3 linked regions of the Drosophila melanogaster genome follow. The protein of the gene in region 3 interacts with the protein of the main gene of each other region in a pairwise test. Each region holds a gene or a part of one and is shown on either strand. Other genes may lie near its edges.

Region 1 (3,263 bases), on a different chromosome or scaffold from region 3:
CCCAGGAAATGCAGGGGCTGCTGGAAAGGCTGGCAGACAATCATCCATTGACCGCGTCGCAGTACGAGGTGATTCTTAAGTACCTCGAAGGCGAACGCGAGGAGCAACTGAAGCGAGAGGTGGGCGAGGCCAATGCTCTGGCCAAGCTAAAAGCTCCCGATCCAGAGATCGAGCTGCAGAAGAAGATTCTTAGCATCATGAACAAGCCGGCAGTAACCGATGTCACCAGCGAGCTCATGTATCCCACTTTCGAGGCAGTCAAGGAGGACAGAAGGCTAATGGAGCTACTTGCTGACGATCGAGTGTTGGCGGCCCTGGAAAGTGTTTACAACTCGGATCTCAGACAGATTTTAGCCGAGTATTTATAGACTACCAATACTTAGTAGTATTCATTAATTTTAGCCATTAAGCATATTTAACATTTAATAAATGTAATACCTAATATATATGACGTAAATCTCGGGCTTCCAGAATGCATTTAATAAGTGTAAGACATTAACAACTAACAATTGGCTGTTTCTAAGGCCAGGATCGCTTGGCTTCGTGTCCCTCGTACTTTCCACGGTACTTGAGACCGGTGACTAGGGTGGAGCTCTTGGGGAAAGCCGTTTTGCCGTCGAATTTGGTATCTGTCTCGGGATGGAATCGCACGTACTCGTACTGGATGTGCAAATTCTCCGGCAGCTCGATGCGCTTCAGTGCATCAAACGGCACGGTGGTGTCCACAGCTGTTTGGTAGAAAGCGATAACATCGCTGACGGTGCGCAGTTCATGTACCTGGGAGTTGGGCACTCCGTGCTGCAGCTCCTGGAAGCACGCGTTCAGGAATTCGAATTTCTCGGAGAGATTCCCCAACTGGTCGGATTTCAGTTGAAGCGAGGCGGCTACGGTTCGAATACGTTCGGCGGCATCTGCAGGTGGGGAGTACGGCTTATGGGGACGCAAGAAGCTACAATCAGGAGAATATTTACTTGGTTTTTATGTAAATAAATTAAAGAAAGTGCTTACCCCTTGGCGGCGATGGACTCGCCGACAGCTGAAATGGTGCTGGTTTTGACGGGCTTTGCTTTTGCGGCCTTGGCGGCGGAGGCAAAACTCCTATGCAGGCTTCCCGCAAGCTAAATTCATGGTGGCATTGGATTTTAAGTGAACATTTTTATTATTTTTTACTTACAATTAGGGTTTTACGTAAAATCGCTGCCATTGGATGTGACCAGATTGAAAACAATGCGGCATGGCAGTCAATACTGAAAATATATTCACTATACTTACAGGTAAGGAGATGGTAACACAAAAATACTGCATTGAGCGTTGCCAGGTGGACTCACTGTTTACCCACTGTTAAATTTATAAACAAACTTAAAAAAAATGAAAACATTATGAGTATTGAGTTATTTTTAGTCGAAGATCTATCTCATAATAGTCTTTCTTGAAACAAATTTTAGTTTAAGCAACAATAAGTGATAGGATTTTATTTTAAAAATATATTACCTCATCAATTTCAATTTAAATCTAAATTCGACATAACTTTACGAACGATAACTTTATTAAATTGCGTGGCAGCTCTAAGCTTTTGTCGATAATAAGGTCCTGTTATTCAATTGATAAGTCCTGCTATCGCGCCAACTGTTATTTTTTTATAATTTTGCATTGAATAATAGTTTTAAACTACATTGGTGTTCTTTATGTAGTATAAAACAGTATGGACAGGACAACAGTTGTCCCGAGTCCGGCCTCCACCTACTGCTCCTTTATGGGTGGCTCCCAGCACTCCCCATTGCGGCGATCACAGCGCCTCATCGACAAGGAAAACCGGGATCTGCAGAAGATTCCGCCCAAAAGTCTTTCTCCTCAGTTATTTGGAAACACTGAAGATGATTACAGTGAACTATTGTTGCAGCAAGGGAAAGTGGTTCACCTGAAGCCTGCAGCTAAGTTGGTGCCCGTGAGATCCTCGGATAATCTAGTCCATCTTGGATCCCGGGATAAAGTTGTCCCCTTGAAAACTTCCAATAGAATCGTTCACCTGAAGCCTCCATATAAGATTATCCACCTCAAAAGTTTAGATGAAGTTGAAAAGACCGTAAAGAAGAAGAATAATATTCAGAAAGAAGTTCATCAAAGGAATTCACAAAGGAGAAGCATTCAATGCACTCCCAAAAAACGTGGTCGAAAACCAAAGCAACCGGCTAAGAAACTGCAGTCAAGAATTTCCACCGATCAGCTAGGAAGCACACCATCGCCATCCAAGCTGCCTGCCAAATATCCCGCCCATTTTGTTCATCAACTTCCGCCCGCTGAGGATTCCAGCTGTGCCACTCGAAGACGATCCTTATCTGCTCCAGCTATGCAACTTAGCGATCTAAGCCTCACACCCGATGAGATCCAAACTCCGGAGCGGCGCGGTGAAATCGTAAACAAATCGCCATCGGATCTCGACTCCGATGTCTCCTTGAACTTCTCGCTGTCCGATTCCATTGGCGAGATCTTCGGCACCAAGGACATCAGCAGCATTCTGACCATGCAGCGGCCGCGTCAGTACATTTTGCTGGAGGAGCATCTGCCCACACTGGCCACCATGTTGAACGTTGACTTGGAGCGACTGCGCTGCGTGCTGGATATCACTCAGGGCTTGAGCCACGAGCAAATCCTGCGCTTTCCGATAAAACATGAAGAGGATGAATTGGAAGTACCTTAGATATGATGGGGAACTTATAGCAGTAGTATAATGTTTTCACTTTGAATAGTTTTAATGTCCAAGTCCAACATATTTAATTCCCATAAGATCCTTGTTGCTTTAACTTAACATTTAAAATGTATATCTCCCTTTTTTTTTGTATATTTTTAAGTGGTATTTAATTGTTGTTGTTTTTTGTTGTTGTTGTTTCTTTTTCGTTATTTTGCCTTAGACTTTCAGAGTGCACAATTTTTGTTTAAACCATTTACTTTTTTGTATATTTTAAATTACTAATGCTAAACGTTATCTAGACTTTATCATACTTCATAATTGGTTTCCTTTCCTCCACGACAATACAGCAGCAATCGATCGGGGTTTTTTTTTGTATCTGTTACTAAGTTTTCTTTTTTGTTTACTGTGTTTCTCATTTAACGTATATACAACCGCGTGAATTTGGAGTTGCAGCTCCCTAGTAGTCGCTGTCGTAGCTTCCGTCCTGCTGCGCCTGCGTCGAGTCATCGGAACGCTCCGAAGTGGGCTCCAGATCAACGTCCAGGGCCGTAGTGTTGGCCGGACAGCAGCTGGG
Region 2 (3,298 bases), on a different chromosome or scaffold from region 3:
TAACTGGCACTGGGAGGCTGCCCTGGGTCATTGGTCACCGATTGACGTCACCCGGGCGTAAATAGTGTTGTTTGCTCCGGCACAAACACTTTCTCCCGCCCTCAGCAGCTCCCCTCTCTCCTGCCGCCCACTGCCCATCGAGTACTCTCTTTGCAAGGCGCAATTGGCGATGGTGCACTCGCAGTGATAGCCAACGAATCCCCCACCCACATTTCGCCCCCAAATCATTCTTGGCAACAATTATCGGAACGATTGCCGCTGTTAAATTCGTACCCAATTATCTGATTAAGATTGCACAATGGCTATTCTCGCAATCTTGCTGGATTTCGACCAGCTTTGGGGGCCACAAAGAAAGCGTGGCATTCATCTCGTATCGGTGGGCAATAAAAGTAAAGTAATAATCCAAAGTGGTGATCCACTTGTCCTAGACCTCTAAAAAAAAGAAATTTTCCACAGCTCGAGATGATTGTGAAGTCCACTCTAAGATTAGCGCAAAGATTGCTGATACTGGATTTAAATTTATGTTATGGTATCATCGATCTCTGCTTAAAGTTCTCCTGGCACCAATTTTAATATTACTTACACTGTAATGATCTTAATAATCTAGTTGTAGTTAAGGAAAACTTGTGGAAAGAAGTGATTATATGTGAAAATCTTTGATGTTTCCGTTAAAGGTTTTCTTGACGTATCGGCGGGGTTCGTCTTCTTCAAGGCAATCTATGTCCGAGTCCAGGCAGAAGGTTGTCATGTGCTCATCCGACTGGGTATTATCCGATGTGGTCACAGAGGGTGTCCTGGGCCGCAGGCCACGTGCCTGGTTGCTCCAGGGCTTCTCAACCCCCGTGGCGTGTGGCCACTCCTTGAGACCCTCCTCTTCGTGGTACTTTATGTAGGCGCGAAGTTCGGCGATCCGTTCCTTCTCCTTTTGGATCTGCTGGTTGAACTGCGCCTCCATCTTGCAGAAGCCCTTTAAGCGGCTCTCGTTCTTCTCGTGCTCCTGCATCTGGCGATAGAATCCCAGGTTGTCCGATGCCCGCTGGTCGGCCTGGAACTTGCTGATCTTGCGGTAGAGCTGCTGGAATCGAAGCGGATCCTCAAAGTATTGGGCCACGTTTGGAGGCAAGTTTTTGTCGATCGGAATCGCTCGCAGATCCCGTTTGCACAGTGGGCACTTCTTATCTGTCGAGGATTCGCTCAGACAGGAGGCGCAGAGGACGTGTTGGCACTGGGTCATGTGGAAGATCAACGTTGGCTCGACGTTGCGGCGTCGAAAGCATTTGTTGCAGTGGATTCGAAACATTCCAAAAACCAATTGTTTTTCTTTGTAAACTAAGAGTTTGTTGAACTTTAATCAGCTGCTTTGGAGCGTCTGTAATCTAACGGTTTTTATCCTTTTCAGTCTGGCCACTACGGTGGCTGCGCTTCTGGCAGCACTGTCCCCCAATTGAAATGCAGTGAAGACTCTTTATAATGAACTTATTTCTTTGAAAGGTGCAGGAAATACAGACTTCTTTGTTTTATTGTTTAGATTTGGCACCATAATTCCAAATTTGGCTTTCGATTCCAAAATTGAATAAATTTCTATTCTTAAGCGTATAAATGGTGGAATTTGTATACGAATTTGCTTTACAATCGAGTAGTCGTCTAATCAAGAAAAGGTTCCGTGACAAAATAATTAAGCGTAAACAGATTGGGGTATTTAAAAACTTGATGAGAGGAAAACGTGCTTTTTAACGTAATGCGACCGTAAAAGCGAACGCTGATGTTATTATTTGTGATTTACTCAGGCATCCGTCTGGTTTTGATAGTTGAAGTATGGTTTCAAGTTCACCTAAAGATTAAGAGCCCGTTAACCACTCCCTTTATTGTTCAAATAAATTAGAATTATATTTGGAATTATAAACAAGCCGTCAGAAGTTCGTCATATAGCATTTGAGAAACATATGTTAAAAAAAAAGATCGTTTTTACACAATAGCGAACAAATGTTTAGCCTCTGAACATGTCAGCTGATTTTCAATCAAATATAATGATATTATTGTATGTATAAAAGCCATACAAAGCGCGCTCAAAGTTCAGTTCTGCGCCATATTTTATGAACAACTAAACACTTATCAATAGCGGCACTACTCAAAAACATACACGACTTTCCATATAAAAATATATACCCGCTGATGACTGCGCTGGGCTAATGAACTCTGGCGAAGTTGGACTGTAGACCGCTCAAGTAGCCGAATAATAATCGAAGAGGTGTTGTATTGTTAATTGCGTGCTCCTGATTTGATTGCAGCACCACCCGCGTTGGTGCTACTTTATTTTATTTATTGATAATGATTGATTGTAACGCCATCCGAATCCATCCGATTACGATTGCAGGGCACCGGTAATCATCGCTAGCCTGTTTCCCAATCTGAATCTGAGCTACCGGACGAGCTACCTCAGCAAGATCAACACCATACGCAGCGATCTTCTGGTCACTTTGCGATCATCCAATGTAAGTTTCCCCGCTTATCAAGCACCCATCCTCCAATAAAGTTAACCCCACCACGTAGTACACGCCGTGACGCAATTGCAGGGAGTGTCTAGTATCGCAGATAAGCAAACATTTCCACTCAATGAATTGTAAATACCGTATCCGTATTGCAATTCAGTCAAAGTCCGCAGAGTGATTAATATATTTGCCAAAAAATTACCTTAAAAACATTTACTTGACATCAAAACATTGATTTTTAAATCTATTGATGTACAAATACAAATTACAAATACAATTTGTAACTAAATTTAAATGTTCAAAACAAACGTTTTTCTAAAAGTTTGCACTATTTTAAATTAAATACTCGTGGCGTTGCCACATCATCCTGCCAATCGATAACAATCCTGAAAGCTGAGAAGGACTTATCGGCCGTCGATTTCCTGCAAAAAAAGCCGGGCGCATGGGTAAATGCGTAAATTATAAATTTACAATTTGAAAGTGCTGTAGAACGGTAGAATCTCTTGGCTGGAATGCCCATGGAGGAGTTTCACGCTCGCGGCTGGTTCGAGGTACCAATTGACCCGCCTGCATGACGTCTATATGCATGCCAGTTGCATCACAATCACAGAATTGTTCCGATCGTTTCATTGCAGGAGCCCAAGACGCAGAATTCGGTGGCTCATGGCATTGGGACGCAGAATATGTTGGAGCTGACCCCGCATTCGGGTCAGAAGCCTTTTAAGAAGCTATTCGACTGGGGCGTGCTCTTCCCATATGTTGCCCAGGTGGTGCGCAGCGAGAAGTTCGAGTACCGACAGGTGGGTGAC
Region 3 (3,536 bases):
ACCATTGCATTCCATTGCACCGTGAAGTGATAGATACTTACATTGGCGACGTTCTCCTGCTCCTCGTTGAGCATCTCGATCATGACGTACTCCTCGGTGGAGTCGAACGCCTGCTGTTGCTGGTCGTGCTGCTGGCTCTGGTTGGGGCTATGAGTCTGACTCTCGTGAAAGCTGGAGCAGCGCGCCTCGTCCAGGCCCAGGCGGAGCAGCTCGTCCGAATCGATGACCATGCGCTTGAAGTTGAACGCCTGTTCCAGCAGCTGCAGGCAGTGGAGGCAGATGTGCTGCGGCATGGCGGCGCCGTCTTGCGGCTCGAACGAGAGTCCCGTGCAGTAGTTTAGCATGCTGGCCAGCGTGGTGCTGCCCTCCGAACCCAGATCGATCTCCTCCTGCAGCGGCTTGTGCAGCTTGCAGGCACGCGTGCACGTCCGGCAGTTGAGCACCACTACCTCGGCGATCTTGCTATTCATCATGATGTCCTTATCCGCTTTCCCCTGTGGTTCTTGTCGGACAGCGCCGGATTTGCCGCTTTTATGACGTTTCGCTCTTCTACTTCTTGCAATTCAATTTTTATGCGTTTTTAGAGCAGATGCTTATGCGATATTATCGGTGCAGCAGTCATCGATGGATTTCGATTAATCGAATTCACTTTCAACACTTCTGTTATCCTAACGAAACTGTTAATTGAAACTTAACGGTCGCTGTTAACTTAGCAGTTTATTATTTTAAAGCTTATGACACCATTTTATTGTTTTAAGCTGATTATTTACAAAAAATATATACTCGGTTGTAAAACAGAGCTTTACCTATCAGCACTAGCTCACAGATCGAACGAGTTGTTCGGCGGGTGTATGAAGCTGGTGATTTGCTGCCGCTTTGCTGATTCCGTTGATCGGCGTCGACTGGAGGACTGTGTGGCTGTTCCACGGCCACGAGGACGTCCGCGCGCCGAGCGTTGGGCGGATGACGAGGATTGCGAAGTCAGCGAGCGGCTTCGGTAGGCCTGGGCCATCCTAAGGCGGGTAGAAATATAATGCATTAATGGGAACTATTTTCAATGGAATCCAAATGTCGCACCGATGCATTTCCGCCTTCCGATTGGCGACTTCCGCCTTAATGTAGCGCGACCTCTGCATCAGCTTCTTGCGCTCCACGCGCAGCATCTGCGCCTCCAGGAAGCGTTTCTGGCACACGGACTTGGCCACCTCGATGTCCTTGAACAGCTTATCCATCTCCAGTTCCTTCCTCTCCTTGTACTTGTCGAAGTGCCGATGATTGCCGCGCTGGAACGTCTCCACAAAGTCGTTGCCGATGGTGAAGGGCTCCGGATGGAAGAGCTGCTTGAAGTGGTTGGGCATCGAGTTGGTCAACTGGCGGCCGCGCACGCTCCGCCGACAGGTGGAGCATTCGAATATGGGCGCGTCGCTGGGCGTGCGGCCGGCGGAGACCTTGACGCACCGCTCGCAGAACACGTGATGGCAGGCGAGCAGGAAGAAGGTGTGCTTCTTATCGCAGAACAGGGCGCAGCAGCTGTTGCAGTGGATCCACAGCTTGGACGCCTCCGGCTCGACAGTCTGACCTGCTTGTGATTTCGCCATGGGCGCTCCGTTAAGCTTTTCGATCTTGTGCGCAACTAATTAATAACAGAATCAATAGATAGAGTTGGCAGCTCTGAATGAGACGAGCTAAGCTCCTGGACCTGCCAACTCCTGCTGCGCATAACGGTTAATGCAAGACCAAACATTTATTAAACGATAAAAAAAAAGAAGAATTTCACAATTAAAACACAGATTCGCAGGCAAAAGCTTAAAACCTACTGGCGACGCATGCGCTCGATGGGCTCCCTGGGCCGGATGCGGTAGCGCTTCGAGGAGCTGGACGGCGACAGCGGGCTACAGTACTGGCTGTCCAGCGTCTGAGTGCGCTTTCTCTTGAGGCACTGCTGGTCCTCCATGGAGGAGTCCCTTGCACTGGGGCGCACCAGGGATCCAGCGATGGAGGCGCAGCGACGGATGAGTGAGCCCGAACCAGCGTTCTCCTTATCCGAATCCCTGTCCCTGTCCCTGTCCTTTTCGCGTTCGCCGCGCAAGCTGGCCGGCAGTCGCATCATGGAACTCATCAGCGACCACAGGCGACCGGAGTTGGGCGCCTCCAGCTTTTTGTCGTTGCACGTGGAGGCGTTTGTGGGGCGGAACACCTCGTCCTCCTCTTCTGCGTCCACGACCTCCGGCTCGCCCACATCCTGCACGCCGCTATAGACCCTCTGCTGACGGCATTCCCGCAACGGAGGACGCACCCTGGGTTGCTGCAATGGCGGCGAGATCAGGGCCATCACCGCCAGCCCCTTCTCCTTCGGCTTATCCTTCTTGGGCGAAAACTCGCCGCTCAGCTGGCGCGGCACAATCGCCTGGCGATGACGACGCTCTGGAATTTCCGGCGTTCCCGGTTCCGGCGTGAAAAACTGGTCCTTGGTTTCATCGCCCTCGCCATTCGATCGCATCTGTTGGCTGCTCTTGGGCGGCGTCTCGAACTTGATCTGCTTCTTGTTGATGCCGGCACCGGTGACACGGATGGGCGTTATGGCCGGCACGTGGCACACTTCCGCTGATTCCGAGGTGGAGCGTATGATCTCGACGCTCTCGCATGAGTTGTACACCGTGGAAGAGGTCTTCTGTGAGCTGGAGTTCGTCCGCGTGATGATGATCGACTCGGTGGTGAGTTTCTGTGCGGACAGCAAGAACTGCCGCTTGCATAGATCGGCATTCCGCGAGGTGCTGTAGCTGGAGCTGCTGCCGCTGTTGACCTCCGAGGCGCTGGACTCGCTCTGGGTGCGCCGCATAGCTGGCGAGAGTCGCAGGTCCAGAGCGGACGAGCCTGCTGCCTCGTGCGAACTGTGCTCGCTGAGATCGAGGCGCACGCGACGTTGCACCACTGCGGATGGTGGCTGGTGGACCATCATGCCGCCGTGCTCGACGAAGGCCTTCTGAATGCTCTTGGACATGACCTGGCGCAGCGGCGTTGCGGCGCTCATCTTGTTGCGGGCGCCCATTTTCCAGGCGCGCTGCTGCAACGGCTGCTGCTGCTGCTGCTGCTGCTGGACGGGATTGCTTTCGGGTGTCGGACTGGGCTCCTCGTGGTAGATGCTGGACACGTGGCCGCCAGTGGAAGCATTGAAGGTAATCGGCTCCTTGGGCTTGGCGAACACGGACTCCACGTGCAGTGGTGTGGACGTCGAGCGTATGACCTTGCCCTTCTCCATCGTTTCGGACGGATTCACGCCCAGTTGGCCAATGGAGCGACGAATGGAGCTGTTGCTGAACGACGACAGGTTGCGTATGGAGGAGACGCTGTCGCTGATGAACTCCTCGTGGGTGACACGGCTCTTGGCCTTCCAGCGCATGTTGATCAGTGAAATGGGCGTTACGGACGGCGACGTTTGCGTTGAAATGGCGGTGCTATTCGCTGCCTTCTTTAGCGTCGCCTTCGATGTCTCCGTGGCGCCGGTGACATCAGTGCAGCTCTGCTGCTGGTCCACG

Evidence for each region.
Region 1: the proteins of vilya (region 3) and mei-P22 interact in a two-hybrid assay, tested with the Drosophila melanogaster proteins (one study listed by BioGRID).
Region 2: the proteins of vilya (region 3) and nenya interact in a two-hybrid assay, tested with the Drosophila melanogaster proteins (2 studies listed by BioGRID).

What each region holds. Positions count from the first base shown.
Region 1 is NT_037436.4:7,242,686-7,245,948, forward strand, and holds mei-P22 (meiotic P22), read left to right. Parts: upstream 1-1,702; coding exon 1,703-2,698; downstream 2,699-3,263. Other genes in the region: Neos (neosin), read left to right, coding at 1-368; mRpL50 (mitochondrial ribosomal protein L50), read right to left, coding at 520-949, 1,009-1,118, 1,175-1,204; Cdc27 (cell division cycle 27), read right to left, coding at 3,147-3,263. UniProt on the Drosophila melanogaster protein: Required for formation of the mei-W68-mediated double-strand breaks (DSBs) that initiate meiotic recombination.
Region 2 is NT_033777.3:27,926,857-27,930,154, forward strand, and holds nenya (nenya), read right to left. Parts: upstream 1,319-3,298; 5' UTR 1,301-1,318; coding exon 641-1,300; 3' UTR 501-640; downstream 1-500. Other genes in the region: mino (minotaur), read left to right, coding at 2,375-2,492, 3,125-3,289. UniProt on the Drosophila melanogaster protein: Required for the formation of DNA double-strand breaks together with narya and vilya during the meiotic recombination process. Plays a redundant role with narya in chromosome segregation during female meiosis.
Region 3 is NC_004354.4:2,724,769-2,728,304, reverse strand, and holds vilya (vilya), read right to left. Parts: upstream 1,628-3,536; 5' UTR 1,599-1,627; coding exon 1,078-1,598; intron 1,014-1,077; coding exon 821-1,013; 3' UTR 737-820; downstream 1-736. Other genes in the region: dwg (deformed wings), read right to left, coding at 42-473; fs(1)Ya (female sterile (1) young arrest), read right to left, coding at 1,814-3,536. UniProt on the Drosophila melanogaster protein: Required for the formation of DNA double-strand breaks during meiosis together with narya and nenya.